Linked DNA regions of Caenorhabditis elegans. The protein of the gene in region 1 interacts with the protein of each later gene in a pairwise test. Each region holds a gene or a part of one and is shown on either strand. Other genes may lie near its edges.

Evidence for each region. Proteins that work in one complex are often made in the same cells at the same time.
Region 2: the proteins of nhr-239 (region 1) and athp-1 interact in a two-hybrid assay, tested with the Caenorhabditis elegans proteins (one large-scale study listed by BioGRID).
Region 3: the proteins of nhr-239 (region 1) and nhr-8 interact in a two-hybrid assay, tested with the Caenorhabditis elegans proteins (one large-scale study listed by BioGRID).

What each region holds. Positions count from the first base shown.
Region 1 is NC_003281.10:2,558,917-2,567,978, reverse strand, and holds nhr-239 (Nuclear receptor domain-containing protein), read right to left. Parts: upstream 6,270-9,062; coding exon 6,266-6,269; intron 5,767-6,265; coding exon 5,626-5,766; intron 5,579-5,625; coding exon 5,483-5,578; intron 5,061-5,482; exon of another isoform or gene 4,930-5,060; coding exon of another isoform or gene 4,159-4,929; intron 4,111-4,158; coding exon of another isoform or gene 4,021-4,110; exon of another isoform or gene 3,996-4,020; intron 2,625-3,995; coding exon 2,547-2,624; intron 1,996-2,546; coding exon 1,832-1,995; intron 1,786-1,831; coding exon 1,704-1,785; intron 1,647-1,703; coding exon 1,423-1,646; 3' UTR 1,384-1,422; downstream 1-1,383. Other genes in the region: Y54F10AR.2 (Mitochondrial genome maintenance exonuclease 1), read left to right, coding at 283-511; Y54F10AM.11 (BTB domain-containing protein), read left to right, coding at 4,021-4,110, 4,159-4,929; feh-1 (Protein Fe65 homolog), read right to left, coding at 7,575-7,655, 8,503-8,710.
Region 2 is NC_003281.10:10,878,579-10,885,320, reverse strand, and holds the start of athp-1 (PHD-type domain-containing protein), read right to left. Parts: upstream 3,556-6,742; 5' UTR 3,358-3,555; intron 2,961-3,357; 5' UTR 2,952-2,960; coding exon 2,886-2,951; intron 2,835-2,885; coding exon 2,703-2,834; intron 2,137-2,702; coding exon 1,765-2,136; intron 1,231-1,764; coding exon 1,124-1,230; intron 114-1,123; coding exon 1-113. Other genes in the region: C44B9.3 (C2 domain-containing protein), read left to right, coding at 5,226-5,333, 5,752-5,997, 6,378-6,694.
Region 3 is NC_003282.8:7,708,078-7,715,253, forward strand, and holds nhr-8 (Nuclear hormone receptor family member nhr-8), read left to right. Parts: upstream 1-3,066; 5' UTR 3,067-3,071; coding exon 3,072-3,152; intron 3,153-3,700; coding exon 3,701-3,793; intron 3,794-3,841; coding exon 3,842-4,134; intron 4,135-4,459; coding exon 4,460-4,556; intron 4,557-4,602; coding exon 4,603-4,810; intron 4,811-5,013; coding exon 5,014-5,214; intron 5,215-5,260; coding exon 5,261-5,731; intron 5,732-5,778; coding exon 5,779-5,848; intron 5,849-5,923; coding exon 5,924-6,092; 3' UTR 6,093-6,121; downstream 6,122-7,176. Other genes in the region: mrpl-1 (39S ribosomal protein L1, mitochondrial), read right to left, coding at 1-596, 646-871, 922-1,006; emc-6 (ER membrane protein complex subunit 6), read right to left, coding at 1,221-1,426, 1,470-1,549, 1,602-1,651; mrps-24 (Small ribosomal subunit protein uS3m), read left to right, coding at 1,970-2,062, 2,111-2,216, 2,269-2,369, 2,454-2,648; F33D4.6 (aECM cysteine-cradle domain-containing protein), read right to left, coding at 6,264-7,070. UniProt on the Caenorhabditis elegans protein: Orphan nuclear receptor.

The DNA.
Region 1 (9,062 bases):
TTAACGTTTTTTTTTGGCTTTTTTCAGAGAAGTTTTGAAATATTTCGATTTTCCGTATTTTTTAAAGATATATTCGAGTTTTTAAAAAAATTTTCAAAAAACATGAGAAATGATTAAAAATTATAGAAACCTGGAAAAAGTTTCCAAATTTTTTTTTTCAAATTCGAAGTATCTCCCTATTTTTAAAAAAAAATTAAAGTAAAAAAAAATTCAATTTTCTCTGAAAACATCGAAAAATTGAGAAAAAATCAATAATTTTTACTTAAAATTCCATATTTCCAGATACAAAGTGGTGCTCGGTGGATGCTACAAATTCGATAGTCTCCTGAATGAAATCCGTAAAGGATCACAAATGTGGTCACAACGGATCAAAACACCCAAGGACTACACTTTCAAATGGCCACGCTACACGATTGTCGAATTGGATATCTGTCAGCAGGCTTATAGTCAAATGCCGATTAGACTAAATGATACACGATACCTCTATGATTTTCATGTTTTTTCATTTTGATTTAGGCGACCTTTTCATTGAAATTTATATGTATCATGTAACCAATAAATACTGGTTTTAGTCTATAATTTTGATGTTTGTAGTGAAAATTACAGCAAGTTGCCGGAATTTAAAATATTCGGCAAACCGGCAAATTGCTGGAATTTGAAATTTCCGGCAAATGGACAAACCGGCAAAGTGCCGGAATCGAAAATTCCCGGCAAACCCGCAAATTTCCCAAATTTGAAAATTCCAACAAATCGGCAAATTGCTGGAATTGAAAATTTCTGGCAAACCCGCAAATTGCCCAAATTTGAAATTTCCGACAAATCGGCAAATTTCCGAAATTGAAAATTTCCGGCAAATCGGCAAACCGGCAAATTGCCGAAAATGAAAATTTCCGGCAAATCGGCAAATTGCCATGAATCGAAAATTTCCGGCAAATCGGCCAACCTGCAAATTGCCGGAATTGAAAACTTCCGGCAAACCGGTAAATTGCTGAAATTGAAAATTTCAGACAAATCGGCAAACCGGCAAATTGCCGGAATTGAAAATTTCCGGCAAATCGACAAATTGCCGGAATTAAGATTTCTCGCAAATCGGCAAACCGGCAAATTGCCGAACTTTAAATTTCCGGCAAATCGGCAAATTGCCGGAATTGAAAATTTCCGACAAACATTCCAACCGACAACTTGTCTGAATTGAAAATTTCAGACAAATCGGCAAACCGGCAAATTGCCGGAACTGAAAATTTCCGGCAAACCGGCACATCGGCAAATTGCCGGAAATGAAAATTTCCGGCAAATTGGCAAATTGCAGAAATTGAAAATTTCCGGCAAACCGGTAAATTGCCGGAATTAAGTTTTCCGGCAAATCGGCAAATTGCAAACCGGTAAATTCATTAAAACATTTATTCATCCATCAATTGAAAATCAAAACAATTCAACATTATCTGATTCAAAGACTTCAGTAATAAGACTGCTCATGGAGCTTCGGAGCAAACTTGACATCTCCCATGGTCCGTTTTCATAGAGCCACGTAACTGTATTGATTAGTTGTGTAGCTGTCTCGATAGAGTCATTTGTGAAGGAGTACCGCCATAGACAACATTTATAAAAGTTTTCCAAAGGTGCAGCGAATTTCAGAAGGGGACTGGCTGGAAAATTAATATCTAGCTAGATCTAGCATAAATAAAAGGGGATCTGAAACTTACTGGATTGGGAGAGAAGTATGCAGATAGTCAGCCGTAGTTGTTCTGGGTCACAATGCACTTTTTGCGGGATAGGTTTTGGCGGCTTAAATGGGTTACGGTAATATTCGCTGTGAGACCCAAAAACTTACTGGAAACCTGCTTAGTACTGCCTCATCTCCACTGGCCAATATCAATAGGGCAAATATGATTTGGCAGTTTTCTTCAACAACTTCTCGACGTTCCTGTTGGGACATGAAGTTTAGCAATAAGCATTTTGATGTAAGGATTACGGATTTCGAGAATATCGAGTCATCTGGAAATGGAAAAAAAAACCTGAGAATAAGAGAAGAAATCTACAACTTATCCACCAACTTTAGCAATTTTAGAAATGCCAAGCGTAGAAGTTGCTAAATTTGATTGAAAAAAGTTGGATAAAGTTGTCCAAAGTATTACGTGAACACTAAATTCAGAGAATGCGTATTGCACAACATATTTGACGCGCAAAATATCTCGTAGCGAAAACTACAGTATCTCTTTTAATTACTTTCGAAATGAATTTATTTTCCAAAAGTGACAGCGATATTCCATTTTTCTTCGATTTTTCGTATTATTTTGTTCATTTTTTTGCTTACTATTAATTTTTAATATTTTATCGATCAAAAATGATTTTCGTAAATCGACACAAGCTTTACAGTAGTCATTTAAAGAGTTACTGTAGTTTTCGCTATGAGATATTTTGCGCGTCAAATATGTTGCACAATACGCATTCTCAGAATTTTGTAATAGTCAAACTTAGAAGAAAGAAGGCTATGCAAGGCTAAGTTGGTGTATAAGTTTTGATGAATTACCCGAGTATAGACTTACATTTGAAAGAGATGGGGTTATTGGTATGTTTCAGCTGCAGGCATCGAAGCCTCCGAGGTCCTCGTTCAGTTTGGACAGCTGAATTGAACTTGATATATCAGTTAAGCAAAAAGAAAACACTATTTAAAAACGTAAATTGACAACACATTCTGTTCAATTTTTAAATTAATATTACCCAGGGGCGTTGGTGCGAAGAGTCTCAATTCTGTAGATATATGTAAGGTTCTTTTCATTACAGCTTCGTACACTCAAAATAATAAAACTGCGTGGCGTGTACTGCAGAAAACCTCATATTTAGGCCCCGCCTTTTTCTCGTCCACTCACGGAGAAAAGGCAAAAATTTGGGGACCAACCAATATCAGGCCGCCGACATCCTACGGGTTCCGCGCGCCGCTTTGTTTAACTCGCAGCGGGCGTCGATTTGACCTACGTAGGTCAAACGAAAATTGCGCAGAATACGCAAACACCGGCGGGAATTGCGCTTCATTGCACTTCCAGAATTTTCTTCTTTTTTTCCATTTTCTTTGATTTGTCATCAATTCTCTCCGTTTTTTGCCCATTTTTCTCCGATTTTTGGCCATTTTTTTTCAATGTAAAACTCGATTTTTCTTCATTTTTTGCCGATTTTCTGCCTATTTTTCTTGGATTTTCAAAGTAAAACTCGATTTTTCAGCACCGCCAGCAGTTCTAACGAGACAATGGCTGGAATGGACTTCTCGATGCCAAAGGAGCTCGTGTTCGACGCAATCGTGGTGGTGGAGGAGCGGAAGTTCCACGTGGGGAAGCAGGTTTGTGAAAACTTTGTTTAACTCGCAGCGGGCGGAGACAGCACCACGCCCACAGCGAGTTAAACATAGCGGCGCGCGGAACCCGTAGGATGTCGGCGGCCTGATATTGGTTGGTCCCCAAATTTTTGCCTTTTCTCCGTGAGTGGACGAGAAAAAGGCGGGGCCTAAATATGAGGTTTTCTGCAGTACACGCCACGCAGTTTTATTATTTTGAGTGTATACATTAACCAAAAAATCGATAAATTTACGGAAAAAAAATTCTCCGATTTTCTCAATTTTTTTTTTGCAAATTTATTGATTTTTCTGGAAATCAATTGGTTTTCCAGTAATTTTTCGATTTTTCTAAAAATTTATCGGTTTCCCGAAATTTATCGGGTTTTCCGGTGGTGTCAGAGTGCCCCTTTTCGATTTGACCTACGTAGGTCAAACGAAAATTGCGCAGAATACGCAAACACCGGCGGGAATTGCGCTTCATTGCACTTCCAGAATTTTCTTCTTTTTTTCCATTTTCTTTGATTTGTCATCAATTCTCTCCGTTTTTTGCCCATTTTTCTCCGATTTTTGGCCATTTTTTTTCAATGTAAAACTCGATTTTTCTTCATTTTTTGCCGATTTTCTGCCTATTTTTCTTGGATTTTCAAAGTAAAACTCGATTTTTCAGCACCGCCAGCAGTTCTAACGAGACAATGGCTGGAATGGACTTCTCGATGCCAAAGGAGCTCGTGTTCGACGCAATCGTGGTGGTGGAGGAGCGGAAGTTCCACGTGGGGAAGCAGGTTTGTGAAAACTACTAAAATTTTTGTGTAATAATTCACTATTTTCAGTATCTCGCCACACATTCGCGGGTCTTCCAGTCTCTGTTCGCCACCCCGGGAGATCCAGAGATCACAATTCAGGACGTCTCTTCCGAGGATTTCCTCAAATTCCTCGAATTCATGTACCACAACACGGATCAAATCACAGCACAGAATGTGGAGTCGCTTCTGACGGTTTCTGCACGGTTTGGCGTGGATTTTGTGATGGCTCGCTGCGAAAATTGGCTCTCACTCGATGAGTCAATGGATTTCTCGCTTCGTCTCCAGCTCGCCGAGACGTACAAATTCTGGAATCTCTTTGACAAACTTCTGGAGACGTTGCAAAGCGAAGCCGACTGTCAGCAAGTGATGAAAATGCGATTCCCACCGAAGTTGGCCAGTCATTCGATGATGGCGTTGTGTCGCCGAGCTGCTGCTCTCGCCAAGGAAGCTGCAAAGCCAGAAGGAGCCGGAGCACAAATCACCGAGGAGGAGCTCGACCGGACTATGAAGATGCTCGCTCCAGCAGAAGATGACCATTCTCAGATGGAGCTCACAGTTCCCGACGACAACGCTTCCGGAAGCTCTGGAACTCTCGGAGATTCTGAGGACACTGGTGCTGAGCTCGTGGAGCCGGAACTCTCAAGGATCCTTCAGAGGACGTTCGTGGTGCCGAGAAGATCGCGGAAGCTGTCTGTGCCAGAGCCGGAGGAGTACGAGGAGGACGGCTTCTCGGAAACTCTGGAGCTGTTCCAGGAGGAGGCACGCAGCTGCCACGACGATACAATCACGCTGGAGTGATGGATAAGAAGATAATTTTCATGTCAAATAATTTCGCCATATTTTTTATTAGTATATTTAAATTTTCATCGTGTACATATTAGACTATTTCAAGTTATTTTTGTGAATTCATAAATCGGGTCGCAACTTGATATTATTTTTGACTCGGAAATGTTTGAAACTCTAGGAAAGGGAGAGAGAGAGAGAAGAGAGACTTGAGCCAAAGCCTAATCCTACGCTTGAGCCAAAGACTGAGCCGAAGCCTAATCCTACGCCTAAGACTAATTCAAAGCCTAATCATAAGCCTGAGCCTAAGCATAACCTTATGCCCAAGCCAAGTCCTAAACCTAAGCCAGAGACTGAGCCTAAGCCTAAGCCCACGAATAAGCCTAGTACTATTCCTGATTCAAAGTCTAATCCTACTCCTAGGCCTACACCTAAGCCTAAGCCTAGGCCTCAGTCTAAGACTAAGCCTAAGACTAAGCCCAAGTCTAAGCCTAGGCCCATGTCTAATCCTAAGCCTATGCCTGGGCCCACACCTAGGCCTACACCTAGGCCTGAGCCTATTACTCACCGAGTCTATTCATCTTCAACCTTGTGCATTTTGCAAGCCGACACGCCGGGCACCAATTCCTTCGGCCTTTATCCACGACGCACTTCCAATTTCCCGCTGAAATATAATTTCAGATAATATAAATTTCCGGCCTGAAAGCTAACCAATACAAGTATAGATAATATTCTTGCGTACACTTCTCTTGAAAAAGCAACTGCATCCATCACATGCCCATACTCCATAGTGTCTACCGTAAGACTTGTCTCCACAAATCTCACAGTTCACGGCTGCCGTGTCTTTTCGGCCTGAAAACGATATTTGATCTACAGAAATTGCGCCAATTTGAGCGCGCGCTGTGAAATTCGTGTGACCTCACATTTTCGGAAAATTTTTGGCAATTGCCGTTTTTCCGGCAATTTTCCGATTTGCTGGAAATTTTCAATTCCGGCAATTTGTCGATTTGCCATTTTTCCGGCAAATTCGGCAAATCAATTTGCCGGTTTGCCGATTTGCCGGAAATTTTAATTTCCGGCAATTTGCCGATTTGCCATTAATTTTCAATTCCGGCAATTTGCCGATTTGCCGGTTTGCCGGAAAAAATCGTTTGCCGCTTGCGGAAATTCCATTAATGTTTTTGTGAAAGAAACAAATTCAAACTGTAGTTAACGAGTTTTTCGTAAAAAACTAAAAAATTCGAAGAACTGCTGCAAACGCGCCCCAACGAACTATTGGCCTACGTAGCGCGGCCAATTTTTATTCAAATTTTGCAGAATAATTACAAAAACCGAGAAAATTCTCACTTACCCATCGAAAAATTAGCAAAATCACCGGAAACCGAAAAATAAAAGGCATATCTCCGTATTGCAGCTCGCCAATTTATACCACCTGAGAATCACTAATTGGAAAGGTATTCGGTGTCAGATGGTAGTAGTAGTACTAGTTGAAATATGAGAATAGTCCCCCACCTTTCCCAAAATCACAAGGTTAGAAGAAGCTTACTTCATCATAAGTCGGGGCGCATTAATTATTTATTGAATTTTTGAGCAACCGACACTCTGATCGAATAGATTTTCTATGGAAAATCGGAAAGAATTTGCTATTTTGAAGCTGAAATTGGCTGGGGCAAAAAAGGGCAAAAACAGGCAAAAAATTATGAAAAAAATTTAGAAAAAAAATTTGCAAAAAGAAATTCAAATTAATTTTTTTAAAATTTTCTATTGAAAACTTTAAATATCTCACTGAACAACTATTAGTTTGCTTACCAGCCTGTCTACCTACCTACCTAAATGCCTATCTGCCTGCATGCCTACATACATATCGGCGTTCCTACCTACCTATCAGTATGACCCCTGCCTGCCAGCCTGGTTACCTACCTACATACCTATCGGCCTACCTGCCTACCTTAATACCTATCTGCCTGCATGCCTGTGTACCAGCTTGGTTACCTACCTACATACCTATCGGCCATCCTACCTACCTAAATGCCTATAGGCGTTCCTGCCCACCTAAACACCTATCTGCCTGTATGCCTGCCTACCAGCCTGGCTGCCTATCTACATACCTACCGGCCTACCTACCTAACTGAATACCTGTCTTCTGCCTTCATGCCTGTCTACCAATTTGGCTACCTACCTACATACCTATCGGCCTTCCTATCTGCATGCCTGCATACCAGCCTGGTTACCTACCTACATACCTATTGGTGTACCTACATACCTACATGGCTATCCGCCTGCCTACCTGCTCACTTACCTGCCTGCCTGCCTGCCTAGCTTCCTGCCAAACAATTTTCGCGACCTATCGATGCACCATGTTCATTCCACCAAACTTGTTATAAAACTCCATTTTTATCAGAAAAACCTTTTTTCAAAGAAATCAAATTCTACAAAACAAAAAAAAATTGTCACAGATGTTGAAAAAGCTACACAGAAAGAGGGATTGTACAAGTAAAAATGTATCGGTGGATTGAAGAATATTGCCAAGTGAGGGGCCGGGGTAAACTTTTGGTTTGAAAGCATATTTGGGATGAGCAGAACAGAGTATGAGAGAAAAAAATATGAGAAAAATCCATCAAAAATACAGAAAATTAAAGAACCGAAGAAAAATGAAGAATTCAAAGTCGTTGTGCCGACCTAGAAGGTACCATACGTGACGTCACCGAACCAAAAGCGTCGCGAAATGTTTCAGTCCATCCCTGTAATTATTTCAAGTTAGGTTTTAAGGATTTTAAGGCTTTCAGCAGATTATTAAGAGTTAATTGGATTTTTTGGTAGTATGTGCACATTAATTTCGGCTCACAACAAAAGTTATGGTGCATCGATCAAAAAAAATTTTTTTTTCGAATTTAAAATTTTGTTCAATATCCTACAGTAAACTACAGTACCCCTACAGTACCCATACAGTTCCCTACAGTATCCCTATAGTATCCCTACAGTACCCTTGTAGTGCACCTACAGTACTTCCATATTAACTTTACATAAGATCTACTGTAGTCCTACAGTATTCCTGTAGTACATCTACAGAATTCCTACACTATCCCTACAATACTCCTACAGTAACCTACAGTACTCTAGAGTACTACTACAGTACCCTACAGTACCCCCCCCCCATTACAGGCCCTTACAGAATCCCTACAGTGCCCATACAACAGCTCTACAGTACCCCTAAAGCACTTCTACAGTGCCCTAAAGTATTCCTACAGTACCCCTTCAGTACCCCTACAGCCCGCTATAGCAACCCTACAGTACCCTTACAGTACCCCTATAGTAACCGTACAGTCCTACAGTACCCTAACAGTAACCTACAGTACCCTATAAAAGGCCCTTACAGAACCCTTACAATACAGTACCCCCTACAAACAATTTAAAGCCTAAGTCTAATTTGACGGCCTAGAATCTGAAAATCTAAAATTAAAAATGTTAAATTCCATGGGAAACATGTTAGTTTATTATTTGTCTGTCACCAAAAAAAAGTGACTCTTCAAATAATTTTCAAGCGATTATATTTGTTAAAGCAAGGGAAAGTGAAGAAGTTTCAAAAACCTTGCCGTGGTAGGTGGATGGTGGATGTTGTCCATGAATCGACATTCCCGAGTGATGACGGGATGATGAGTGGGCGTCGAGCACTTTTTGGTATCGAAGCTTACAAGCAGCCTCGACCATTTTTGCCATGGCGGCTGCGTTCGGTTCGACGTGGAAGACGTAGCACATGAAGCTTTCCGATGAGGTTTGCATTATGAAGGCACAGTGTCTGGAAGTTGTGGAATTGAGAGAAATACCTAGAGTAACCTTAGAGGACGCCTACAGTAATCCTACGGTACCCCTACAGTACCCCTAAAGCCACCCTACAGTATGTCTACAGTATCCCTACATCAACCCTACAGTACCCTCACAGTACCCCACAGTAATCATGCACTACCACTACAGTACCCCTACAACTCGCCTACAGTTATCCTACAGTATCCTTACAACCGGTCTACAGTAATACTATAATATACCTATGTACATTACACCTATAGTATCCCTTTATTACCCCTACAGTAGCCTTACAGTATTTCTCCCAACAATACCCCTACAGTGCTCCTACAGTACCCCCACAACCC
Region 2 (6,742 bases), 8.3 Mb from region 1:
GACACATCCAATAGAAATATGCACGAACATGAATAAGTGGAGGTGTTACACATTTTTGATGCCATATCAGGTCACAAAAGTCACATTTTAGCATTCGTGTCCAGTCGTCTTTTCTGCAAAAAATAATTGGAGTTTTAAATTATATGGTAGGCAGGCGCGGTTTCAGGGCCTGATGCCTGCCTACCTTTGCTTATTTTCTGCATTTTTAAGGGAATTTACAAATTTCTAAGTTTTCTCATTCTATCAACTAGTTGATTTGAAGTTTTTCCGAAAGTTTTTTGAAATTTTTAAGAAAATTTTTCGGAACATTTTTGAAATTTTTCCTCAACTACAAAATTTATTTCAGAAAATTTACAGAAAATTTTTTTTTTAAATTAAAATTTACTTTTTTCAGAATTTTTCAGAAAAAATATTGAATTTTTCTTAACAATTGAAAATCACATAATATTCGAAAACTATATGTTATTTTTCTTCAATAGGTAATTTCTGTCTTTTTCAGGTGATTTTTTGATTTTCAAAAAAAAATTAAGATTTTAAAATCTTGACTTTTTGAATTAGCTAAAACTTTTTTTCCAGAAAAAAAACACATTTTTGATGCCAAATTAGATCACAAAAGTCACATTTTAGCATTCGTGTCCAGTCGTCTTTTCTGCAAAAAAAATAATAATTGGAGTTTCAAGAAGGGATCAAGGGTGCCATTTTTCGATTTTTCGATGTTTTTCAGTGAAAATCGAAACATCGAAAAATTGAAAAAAATGTTCAGAAAATTAACCATAAAATTCGATTTTTTATTTAATTTTGCTTATATTTGTAAGAAAAAAATCCAAATTTCTTCTAAAAATAAGAATAATGTCCAAAATGTGAAGCTAATTTTTGGAAAATCGGAAAATCGAAAAACGAAATTTTTTGATTTTTGATTTTTCTTTTTGATTTTTCTATCGTGTTTTTCAGAAAAAAATCTAAAAGTTCAGATTTTGAGATCATTTTAAGAATCGAAAATGATTTTTTTTGAAGAAAAATTTCGGATATTTTTCGAGAGAAAATCGCTCAATTTCAATACTTTCTGGTAGGAAACTCCTCTTTTTTTTGGCACTTTAGGTCCATTTTTGCTACGAAAACGTACAAATTGCACTCAGCACACACTTCTCCCATTATAGTTGGCCTCTTGTCTTCCATTGCATCACCAGAGAAACAATCACGATCTGCTTGGAATTCCGGTGGTATTGTATACTGAAAAATGTTGGAAAAATTATTTATAAATGTTTGGAATAATATCTAGGTTTCTCGAGAAAATTATTGTAAAATTGGAAATTTTTGAAGGACACAGAAATAAAGAATTTTCACAAAAACTCGAAACAAGAATTAAAAAAGCGTTATTTTTAATATTTTTATCGGAAAAATGGTCTCAAGAACGATAATTTTCAGGAAAAAAGGTCGAAAATACTCAAAAATATTTGTACATTTTTCTGCAAATAAATTGTGTTTTTTTCTGTTTCTATCCTATCCTACAGTGTTAAAAATCCCGATTTTTCTAATTTTTTTTTCACTTTTTTCCCGAAAATCGGATCGAACGCCGAAAATTTCAACGTTTTTCGGGAGAAAAAGTGTTTTAAATATTTTCTGCTAATAAAATTTCGCATTTTTTAAAACTATTTTTATCGAAAATTAAAAAAAAAAATTAAATTTTAAAAAATCCAGAATTTTCGATTTTCATTAATTTTTCAATTGAAGCATTAATTCATTTTTTTGAAAAAACTCCCTTACATCCATGGGATTAGCCATTCCAAGTGCTTTCAGTAGATTTTTATCCCGAAAACAGTCTTGAATTTCTGCAAATTCACTTTTTGGCCCATAAGCAACATCTTTTTTCATTTTCTCGGCCTGTTCCTCATCTCTAAGTCGATTACAATGATATTCAATAGCTTCCCAATTTCGGTGATTTTCATTTTCAACTCGGAGCACTGGATTTACAGACGGCGAGCACTTTTCCGGTGGAAAGAGCCGAACGTTTTCCGGAAGATTTCTACATCGATTACAGTAAAAATTGTCGTCTGGAAGATCGGATGATTCGTATCCAATACAAGCAAGATGAAAGGATGCTGGACACTGTTCACAGCATAGAATGTTACCGCCGGACTGCAAAAAAACATGGAAAATTATTTGGAAATCTGGGCATTTTTTTATTGAAAATTTATGAATTCAGTGGAGAGATTTTTCTAAAATTTGGGATTTTTTTTTCCAATTTTGCAAAAATAATATAATGAGCCTAAGCCTACGCCTAAGCCCAAGCCTGAACCTAGGCCTAAGCCTAAGCCTAGGCCTATGCTTTAGCTCAAGCCTAAGCCCAAGCCTACGCATAAGCCTTAGCCTAAGCTTAAGCCTAAAGGCATAAGCCTAGGCCTAAGCTTTAGCTCAAGCCCAAGCCTAAGCCCAAGCCTGAACCTAGGCCTATAATAAATTTTTAAAAGGGAATTTTTATTCTGAAAATGCTAAAATCATCAAAAATTCGAATTTTGCAGCTCTTTTGGACTAAAAACTTTTTTAAAAAATCAAATAATTTCAGCATTATCTGGTTTTTTTACTTTAAACTCCAGTTCTGAATCGAAATTTTCAAAGATTTGATGATTTTTTGCAATTTTTCTGCCTTTTTCAGGGAAAAATTAGTTTTTTCCAATATTTTTCCAAATAATCAATGTATTTACAGAGCAAATTCCGCATATTTGAGCTTCAGGCCATTTCCATTCTTCCTCCACTTGCTTTTTCTTCTTTCCAGACCCTCTCGCCGACAATTCTTCGGAAATGTGGTGTGGAAAACCGCAAACTCGGCGAATTTCCTACAAAAATTTGGAATTTGAGGCGAAAAAGTGAAAATTTGCCAATTTTACCGGCAGAAGACCGTCGTTTGAGTCGTATTTCAGCTTTCTTCGGCCTTCTTTCTCTTTTTTCTGCATTGATATTTTCTGAAAACTAAGAAAATCAATGAGAAATGATTTTTTAAATGCATTTTAAATTAAAATATCAAAGAAAAAATGAAAAATCGTCATAGAAATCGCAGAAATTCGAATGAATTTTCATGAGAAGCATGATGTCTAGCTGTCTGTGCCCTCCTCGATTCACATACTATTTCTTCGTAATTCGCAATGGAGCGCAGTTGCGTCAAGCCGAAAAAAATTAGGTTTTTTCCTATAATTTCGGAAATTACGGATAAAATCTTGATTTCTTAGGGGAAATTGAAGAAAATTCATAAAAATTTATAATTTCACGCATTTCTTTGAATTTAATTTCAGATTTCAGGTAAAATTTCAGATTTTCAGAGAAATTTCCAGCGGCTAACTTGAAAAGAATCACTATTCGCACCTTTACAGCCATCTCCACAGTCACAATCGGCATTGTAAACCATCGGCAGTCCTATTCGAACCCTAAAACTCATCTCCACTTCTTTTGTCGGCTATTTCCGGTTTATGGCCTTGTTTTTGGCTTGTTTGGAAAGAAAGAAATAATTTTTGTTATGAATATACTTTTTTCAACAGAAAATTGGAACAAAAGCGAAGGAAAACGAGGAAATTGAACAAATAAAAGATTTAAGAAAATTAAACAATAAATAAACTACAGTAATCATAAGCAGCATGGACAGAGTTTCGGCGAGGGTCTCGCCACGATGTTATAAACGGCACATGCGCCTTGAACAAAGTGTACTGTAGTTTTAATTTTAGAAAACTTTTTTAAAAAATTTTTTCCCAGTTCTTCCCAGTTTTTTGTAGTTTTTTATCTTGGTTTCTGTCAGATTTTCCATTAAAAGTATTTTCAATTTTTTTAAAATCATATTATATTTGATATATCACAAAAAATGTAGTGAGATGATGTTGTGTGGTACCTCTGGGTTGAAAAAATGAATTCAAGCGGAAAATAAACAAAAATAAGCACATTTTTAGTACCCAGAACCGCTATTTACTGCTCCTCAATTGAAAATAGAATCAAAATCGCAAAAAATAACCTAAAATCTTAAATTTTGTTTACTTGTCAGTGAAGTAGCTGTTTTTGCATACTTTTTGTGTTTTTTTGGTACATTTACGGTCGATATGTGTGCACCACACACCTGCCAACTTTTGTGCATCTACCAAATTATAATAGGTATACCTTCCATCAACTACTGCAACTCAGACAAATGGACAAAATTTCAGATTTCGAGCACATTTTGGGTCTATAATCCTCTATAATCCAATTATTTATTACGTTTTTCGTCAAAAATTCGAATTTTGTATAAAAAAATCTTATCTTTTGCCCAGATAAAGCTCCAAAACAAGGCAATAAACATCTTAATCTTCAGCCCATCACAAATCAAATCCTTTGTTCTTTCAATAGACATCTACACGTTGTAAAAGGTGCTAATCCCGTCCTTCGACAAGATAACCATCTCTCGAGACGCTCTGTAATTCCAGCTCCGCCTATAATTAGGTGACACCCCCTTCCTCCTTCTACCTGACCATGCATCCAATTAGTCAGTCATTGTGTTATTCTTATTCCAGTCTCTCAAAGTATGTCGATGTATTATTTTATCCGATAAAATCGACATTCTTTTTTTTATTTCGATATTTCCTAGAATTCTCAAATTTTCACTGTTTTCTGCAGAAATTAGCTTTTTTTTTCTCACTGAAATTCACACTTTTTTTTGGATTTTTCCAAATTTCGAAAAATAATTATTGAAAAATCACCGAAAATGTTTGGTTCTGAATTGAAATTTTTTTAAAAATTCGAAAAAACCTATATTTTTTTGGGGAAAATCTTAATTTTTTAGCTTTTCTCTTCAAAAAATTGGCAATTTTCAATTTTCTGAAAGCTTCAGAATTTTCCAATTTTCCTAAAATTCCTTTCTGGTCGTATTAAAAAAACGATTTCCTCGAGTTGCAGAAAAAATTTTTTTCCGAAGTAAAAATTGAAATTTTCTCTAAAACACCGAAAAATTGGAAAAATTTTGAATTTTTGAATATTTTTCTGCAGAAAAAGTTGCATTTTCTCGATTTTCTCTCCGAAAAATTGAAAAAATGGCAGTTTTTGATTTATTTGCAACTTTTTTAAAATAATTTTTAATTTTTTTCCGTTTTTTTTCCTGATTTTCAACAAAAAATCCTTCTTTCAGACACACACTCTACACTAAAATGTCGTCGCCCATCTTCTATGGAATTCTACTATTATTGGTGTGCTCCGTGAGCCCGGTCATCTCTGAAATGTGGCTCCACGTGAATGTTCTCTCTGTGGAACGGAAACCATGTCCAATTGATGAGACCTCATGGGGTACAGAGACTAGTGGATGTGCAACTATGAGCTATATGACTGTGAGTTTTGGAAATTTATAAGATTCCTTGAAAAATAGTCCAAAAGTTTTGGAAAAAAACATAATTGGTTAATTTTCGCGCTAATTTCAGAGTTTTTACAACCAATTTTGCCGAAAAAGTCAATTTTCCTTGAACTTCGCGTCAAAAATATGTTTTAAAACACCATTTTTCCCCGAAAAATCTATCGCAAAATATACATCTTTGCCATAAAATTACTCGATTTTTGGTTTTTTTCTTTGAAAATTCAAAATTTTACTTCTTCACTGCGACCCAAAAAAAGCCCAATACAATGGTAAAAAAGTTTCGAAAACAAATTCCAAAATTTCAAATTTTAGCAGAATTTTTGGTAGTTTCGGGCCATTAAAGGAGCGCGGTTTAGTAGATCACTTTGAAAAAAAATTAATTCAGTATTTTCCAGCTCGACGAACGAATCCTTCCCCACCACGAACGTCGTTCATCAAGTTTCGAGTATATAAATGGAATCGCTCGACCTACAGTAACCCATTGGCCAAAAGGACGATTAAATGATTGGATGGTATCTATTCAATTTGTTTCAGTGGATCCTGTATATGGATTGGCTAGAACTTGTGATCGATCTGGATATATTCGGGTTTTCCAGAATTCTACTGGGGAAACGCCAGAGTTTTTGGAAAGAACACTGCAGGTTAGAAAATTGATCTAAATTTCAGATTTTTCAGGCAAAAAATTCGGAAAAATTCGGCGGATTTTGTTGTGAATTTTAATTAAAAACCTAGTTTTCGAATCGAAAAAAAAGCTAGAATAAAAAAATTCTTATAAAAAATTCGAAGCTAGCGAAAAAATCAGATTTTAGCTGAAAAAATGAAATATTTCAAAATATTCCAAAAAAATAATGGCACGGTTTTTCCGCCTTTTTTTTGCAAAATTCACAAAAATTCGAATAGAAAAACAAGATTTTGATATTTAATTGAATATTTTTATTTTATTTCGAACCTTCTTGCTAAAAACCCCATTAAAAATTGAATTTTAAGTCTAATTTTGTTCCAAAATCCCCAAAATTTCCAGATCCAAGGTCAATGCTTCATGTCAACCGTCAAAGTTCAAGCATCCAATACAGTATGCCCATGGTGTGTAGATGATTCACAAACAACTACTACAACTACAGTAACCCCAGCACCACCATCCACCACGTTTTCTCCATTTTTCGGAACTTCGAACAACACCTCATTGCTCATCGGAATGCTCATTCTTGCGTTTTTCTCTTTGCTGGCTCTCACATCGACTACCGTACTCCTCTGTGTGTATATTAGTGATCGAAAGAAGCCTGAGTTCTTTGATATGCCATTGCCACAGGCAAATAGTACTGTACTTGGCGGGAGGAGGTAAGGAAATTCACATATTTAGATTCAAAAATCGAAAAAAATCAATTT
Region 3 (7,176 bases), on another chromosome or scaffold:
CGGCTGCAATTACAGTTGCGATATTGGCTTCAATATGTTCATTTGGCATTGATAACCGTCCAACAACGCAATCACTGAGCCCCCAAATGGGATATACAGGATCTCCTTTGATATTAAGTTTCACTCCGTTCTTGAATTTTTCGATAAGCTCTGGAAGATTTTCTCCGAGACCTCCATTAGCTCTTGTTGGGAATCTCATTTTAAGAATTCCACGTAGTGGAAGAATCGATGATCCCATATCTGAATGAGATACACAGAAATCATAATCGTCCGTCCTGAACTGTCCCTTGATGATTTTTTTGATGGTATCTTGTCCAAGAGCCATTTCAGCTCCAGATTCTACAGCCAGTTCTTGAAGTTTCACATCATTAGCGAATGCTAAAATGGTTCTTTTTTCGTTATGATTGAATGGATGAGGGACTGGGACAATTTCATCACTTCCTGTGACCATTTTCGTCTGCCTCTCAGTTGTCATGTTAAGTTCAAGGCGAAGACGGATTGGAGCATTTGGATTATTGTAGATTGATGGGCTTTGAAGTTCACGATGCATGTCAAGAGCTTCGGAGACTGTGTAGTATTGCGTTTTGAAGTGAGATCTGAAACATTTTAGAATAAAAAATAGAAATCACAAAACAGGTCTGATACTTTATGAAAACATCCAATGTTGGCTTTTCAGGGAGATTAGCTTCATCGTCAATGTTGAGTCTGCCTGGAAATTGTTGAGATGGTGATAGAAGATTTTTCATTCGCCGAATATTGATTTTTTCCATGAATGAGTATTGTTTTCTGGCTGCCTCTTTTTCTTCCCTTTTCATTCGTCTTTCTAGTTTTTGTTGGCGAGTGATTGTCTGCTTCAACGCTCTTTTACGCCCTTAAAATAAGTTTTTTTTAAAACTACATTTATTTTAAAAAAAAACGAACCTCTAATCTGAATAACATCCGCTGACGCTGGTCGTAGAATGTTACTCCCAGTAGAAGATACCGTCTGTCGAACAAACGATAACATCCTGAAAAGAACAAATGAAAAGTTTAAATAACAAGGAAGCACATTTATAAGGTTATTTTAAAGTTATTTTATCTGTTAAAACAGTGACGAACTATAAATAGGTAGATTAAAGCTGGATTGATTTATTAAATTGTATAAAATGTTGAAAAGAATAGATACATCTATTTTAGAAATAAATAAAAGGGAATGTAGACTTTCGCGAATAAAATGGATCTCAGTATACATGAACCATTCCGTAGAAGAATACCCAGAGCAGAACGAAAGTGAGAAGACCATTTCCGTGCGACCAAGTGAATGAGTTTCTTTCCGGAAAGTAGCTCAACCAGTTTCCTTGTGATTTCACGTTCCATATAACGGCCTGGATTCCAACAGAAATGAAATAGAGAATGAAGCCTTGAAAACCGGTAAGTCCGAGAATTCCTGTAAAAGAAGGATTTTTTAAATGATTTTTTTTGAAAATTACCTGCTGCCATACCGGCGGCGCACGACTGACACGTTCTTCCAAACTCGAGAGCTTCGACGTTGTTGGTTATCGCTGCCGTGCTGAAGAAATATATACATGATTATTGAATTCATGATTTTTACTTCGACTCACTTGTAACACTCATCGTTCTTCTTTTCTGCTTTTGACGATTTATCGGACATTTGAAAATCTGAAATTACAAATAACACTAATAATCAAAAAAGAACATGTTCTAGAACAACATAAAATTATTTAAAATTGAATAAAACTGGATTGCAAAGGGAATTTAAGAATTAAATAGAATAAATTAATAAATTTGTCTCTGAGAAATCTGTGCATTCTGACGTGACAGTGTATCAGTCCTGGGGAGCGCACTTGCAATATTCTTTTTTTAGCTAATTTTTTTTCTTTAAAAATATTGCATTTGCCTCGCTTTTATACTGAATCGCTTTTATAAATATATTTTTCTGCTTAAAATATTATTTTTATAAATTTCAGACATGCTTCGAAGTATACAACATGTCGAAGCCCTCAGCAGTCGTCAAATTTCGACAACATCGATGCTTCTCAAGAACAGAGCGGGTAAAACCAAGGTTTGTTGATCTTTCAATTATTTTCCCATTTATATTTTGCAATTTCCGTCTACATCAAATAGAACACAACTTCTTACATACGAAATGGCTCAAAAACCACATCATATTGGCGTGCGAAAATCGTGGCTCACATGGCATTCACAGAATCTCGAAGGTTTGTTCCAAAACTGAATTACGATTTAACAATTTTTAAAATTTGTTTTTAGAATTCCGTCAATCTCAACCACTGGTTGTTGCACAAGATGAAGTTGTTCGTCGGTTCATTCGAGGATTTTTCCCACAAAATTTAGTCGTTAGTGGAAATGAGGTAATAACTTATCAAAAAAATTTTAAAATTCAGTATAGTATCTATTTCTCTTATCCAAGTTTGCAAAACTTCACATTTTTCCAGATTGTAATCAAACGACGAGGAAACGTACTGATCGTTGCCGGATTCCTTCAATATTCGCGTCGACTCGATATTCGAAGAATCTACTGGATGTTCGGGTTTGCAGAAGAATTTCTTTCCATTCTTCTGAAACAACCAGTGAAGCTAGAAATGGCATTTGTGGAATCCGAAGAAGATGTAGCATACAACTATATCTAAAACTTTCATCTTTGTTATAGAACCGAAATACCGTAGTTTTATTTTACTTCTTTAATTGTTTCTGTTGTGTTCCAAAAAACAAAATAAATCTGAATTTTGGCATTTGGATTCTGGATTTTGGTCCCTGAAAAATATACGAGAGTCAACGATAAGACTTCATAAAATTATCAATCAGCGCATTGGTTTGACAAAAATCAATAAATATTTGTGCTCACTTCGCACACTGATAAGCAAACCCCATAGTCTTTCATACAAACTATTGCGCCCTTTCAATCGTCCTTTTTAACTATACGTGAATCACAGTTAACTATGCGTCGCTCATATAATCACTGATTATTATTCGTATCTTATTCCACTTGTGGTGTGACTTATCTGCAAAACCTAACAACATTTTAATCACTAAAACAAAAATTTCGTCATTCCATGCCTTCGTCTTCTCCATCGATGGACGAGTCTCGAAGGTCTGCTGTTCCACCAAAAGAGCCTGCTGGCAGAATTTGCACAGTTAGTTTTGATATTATTTAGAATATAATCACTTTATTGAAGAGCCTCTTGACGCTGGTTTAAAAGTTGAAAAAACCATCAGAAAGTTGTAATTTTATTTTGGAAACGGCGTGAGATTTTTCGATTTTTGCTTAAAAAATACGGTATCCGGTCTCGCCAAGACAAGTCTTTAAGGAGTACTGTAATTTCAAACTTTAGAAGAACATGCATATTTAACGTGAAAAACTAAAATAAAACACATAAATGTTTTTAAAAAAGTATTAATAGCTATGAATTATCAATGAAAATTCCACAGCTTGAAATTACAGTAATCTTCAAATGCACACAGCTTTTTGTACTGAACAAAGATTGTCGTGCCGAGACCTGGTACCGTATTTTTGACCTAAAAATCAAAAAGAAAATTCCGTTTGGATACATATCGTCTTTTCCAAAACGTAAGATGAGTTCCATAGTGGATTACTACAAATCTGGTGGTATTTTTGTAAAAATATAATAGAAAAACGTTTTTTCATTTATACTTCTAAACCAACAATTGTAATTAATTTTAGGTTTGCTCCGACCGTGCAAATGGATACAATTTTGGTGTACTCACTTGCGAATCTTGTAAGGCGTTTTTCAGGCGAAATGCTTCAAAGCATAAGGTTTTAAAAAAAAAAGCATACTCAAGTTGTTAAAAATTTTGTGTTAAGGAAATTAAATGTCCTTTCTCTGATTCTTGTCAAATCACATCAGCATCTCGCAAGTTTTGCCAAGCTTGTCGATTGAATAAATGTTTTGCTGTTGGAATGAACAGTGAATGGTTAAATGATTTGAAACCGAAGAGTTCAATTGTTTCTGGAAAATTCAAAAGAAAGAAGCCTGATATGAAGAATAACTTGAAAGTGGAAGTAGATGATACTGAAGAAGATTTGGAAAATGATGATGAAGAACAAATTAGTGTCCCCAAAGCATTACTTGAAAAGCTTATCAATAAAGCTAATGAGTAAGTTTCAATGAAATTATCCGGAAATAATAAACTACTGTTTCAACAAATTTACTATAATATAACGGGAAAATAACAAAAAAACGCCTTTACCCCAGAATGCAAAAACAGTAGCCGCGCACGTATGTAGGCATGAAGAAGTGCCTACCATGGCAGCCTTAGCACGTTCTCACATTTATTCAATTGAATCTATTTAATTAAAGTGGTCTCTCGATAACCTGTGATATGTACCGTATGAGAAAGTACAATTATCTAATCAGTAGATCACACAAGACCACAAAACTACGTCACTCTAGTAACAGACAATCGTACATTGAACTTTCAGAAAATCAAAAGACAGATGTACATGCAAATGCCAGTGTGGATTCTATCCAATTACTCAAAGACTCACCGCATACGAACCAAAGGATACAACAGCTGTGGTTAGTAGAGTTTAAAATACAAGAAAATCAATTATTTTATATTCAGAACAGTCCACAAGATATATCATTCTCCCATCATCTTCATCATTCGGATTCGTTTTATTCTTCATCTACTTCAACTCTTTCTCCAATGTCGGTTATCAGTTGTGCTCCATCTTCACATGATTCCAGTGGTTACAATACTTCTCAACTTGTTACTCAATCTCCAACCAACTACACAGTTTCTCCGGCGTCTATACCGAGCTCAATAACTGGTATGTTTTTAGGAGCAGCTCGTGAAGCTGAACGCTAGAACCTCACTGTCAAAAATGTTTGACAACAAGCCAGACATAACTCATCTAGAAGGCTATCACTACGAATTCAAAGTAGGCAGAAGAGTTACGTCCGCCTTCCGAGCCGACAAGAAAACACTTTTATTAATACGTACTGAAGTAAAGAATATACGTCTAAAATTTAGAACTGTCTCCACAAATGCCATCGCAATATCCTCCAATGTTATCACCATTTCAATTTGGTGTTATGGCCCAAATGGCTGCGCCAGCCAACTTTTTGAATTTTCCTCCAATGCCTGAAAGAACATGGACTCCAATTCAAGCAGTGTCCACAGTTCCAGTAACTGAAACTCTACCTCCAAATTTGCTAGAACAAATTCATTCAAGTACTGTTTCATGTCATCCATAAGTTTGAATTTTGCAACTTTTCAGAGATTGACAAATACATTGGAGTTTTGAATGAAGACGAGATAACTCTTTTAGAAGAACTTCATGTACAAAATGAGCCATTAAATGCTCCACTAATTCAATGGCACAATCCGAAAAGCATTGATGGAGTTTTTAGAATAATAGAAGAAGCTCTACGAAGGATTGTTAACATGGCATGCCAATTAAGTCTATTCCGAGAGCTTCACGTGGACGATAGGAAAAATCTCTTGAAAAGTGGATTTGGGGAGTTGTTGATTGTGCGGGGTCTTATGGCCTATGACAAGAGTGATAACAGCTGGAATCATTCATTTGGAGTACGAGGAAAAATGGAGGTAAAGGTGGAAGTTCTTAAGAATCCAAAACTTGAAGAACATTACAAAGCACACATGAACTTGCTTTCAACGTTTGGAGAAGATGTGAGGAATAATGAACATTTGATGCTCATTTTCAATGCAGCTGTTATATTTCATCCTCGTGAGCCAGTTTTTCAAAATTGATTCGTTTTAAAGTTATTAATTCAGATGTCTCCAACTTACGTGATAGTAAACGAGTGCACTCAACACAAGCAAAATATTTCCAGATGCTCTTGAAGTAAGTACTGTACGAGAAAAGCACGTATTGTATAACTTTTTGATTATAACATTTTTAATATTGTCCTACTTTCAGACTTCTTACATTTGAATATGGTAAATCACGTGCTGACATTGCATACAGTAATCTTCTGAATCAAGTCGTCGAGCTTCATCGTGTGAATAGGACCTTACTTCGTGTGTTTTATGGACTAGATATTGCTCAATTGGATCCTCTGATACGAGAATTATGTTCTTTTGAATAACCATTTATTAACCATGAATTATTGCACATATTGCACACTTATTAACATGAGAAAGTTTTTGAGAAAATTGCACAAAAGTCAAGGGCAGAAAGATGGAGAAAATATTACAAACAAATACACGTAGATCTGGATCGAAATCAAAATAAAAATTAATATAAAGGTATTAATTAATTACTCCTCTTTCAACCACTTTTGGCACTTGGCAACATAAGCATGAGAACGAGCACATGTTAGTGCTGGATAATAGTTCTCAATAAAGTAACAGTGCTCTTTTGCGAACTCTTCAACGGTATCAAACAAGAATTGACGTGCGAAGCTACGAAGGTTCAAGCATTGATGCTTTGTCACAACAGCTCTCTTTTTGTTTTTCTTGACACGTTGAGCACGTGTAACTGGAGCTTCAGTGGTGGTGGTGGTTGTTACATCTTCTTCTTCATCTTCAACTAACTCTTCTGCTTCAATAACATCATCTTCCTCTTCCTGTTCCACGGCAGCTGTCACAACTTCTTCCTCTTCTTCTTCTGGTGTAGTTGTTGGAGCTTCAGTAGTAGTTGTTGTGGTTGTAGTCTTCATTTTTGAGAGACGAATTCTCTTCATAACTCTCTTTCTAACCTCCTTATTCAAAAGTTCTTCTTCCTGCTCTTTTGTCAACATCTGAACCTTGCTGCTTCTCTGTTCGATAGCATCATTCATTGGAGTATCATTTTGAACTTCTTGTTGGGTTGTTTCCTGTCTTTTTGGGCTCTCTTGAACCTCATCAACTCCATCGAATTGCTCAGCAAACTCTTCGGATGGTGGGGAAACACTTGGAGCCACTTGGGTCTTCCATTGCTCGTCATAAAGATCTGGGAACTTGCGGATCTCTTTCTTTTCTTTCTTTGATGTTTTGTGACTCTTTCTCATCTTTCTCTTCTTCTTTGGTGGTTCAGTCGTTGCTTCTTCTTCCTCCTCAACTGGTTTCTCTTCAACCTTTTCATTCTGAAATGATAAAAATGAGGATTTTTAAACTAAAAAGATATTCCCAAATGAGTTATTAGTTGAATTTGCAGCTAACGTGCTGACAGCAATTGAGTGCAAATTAAAA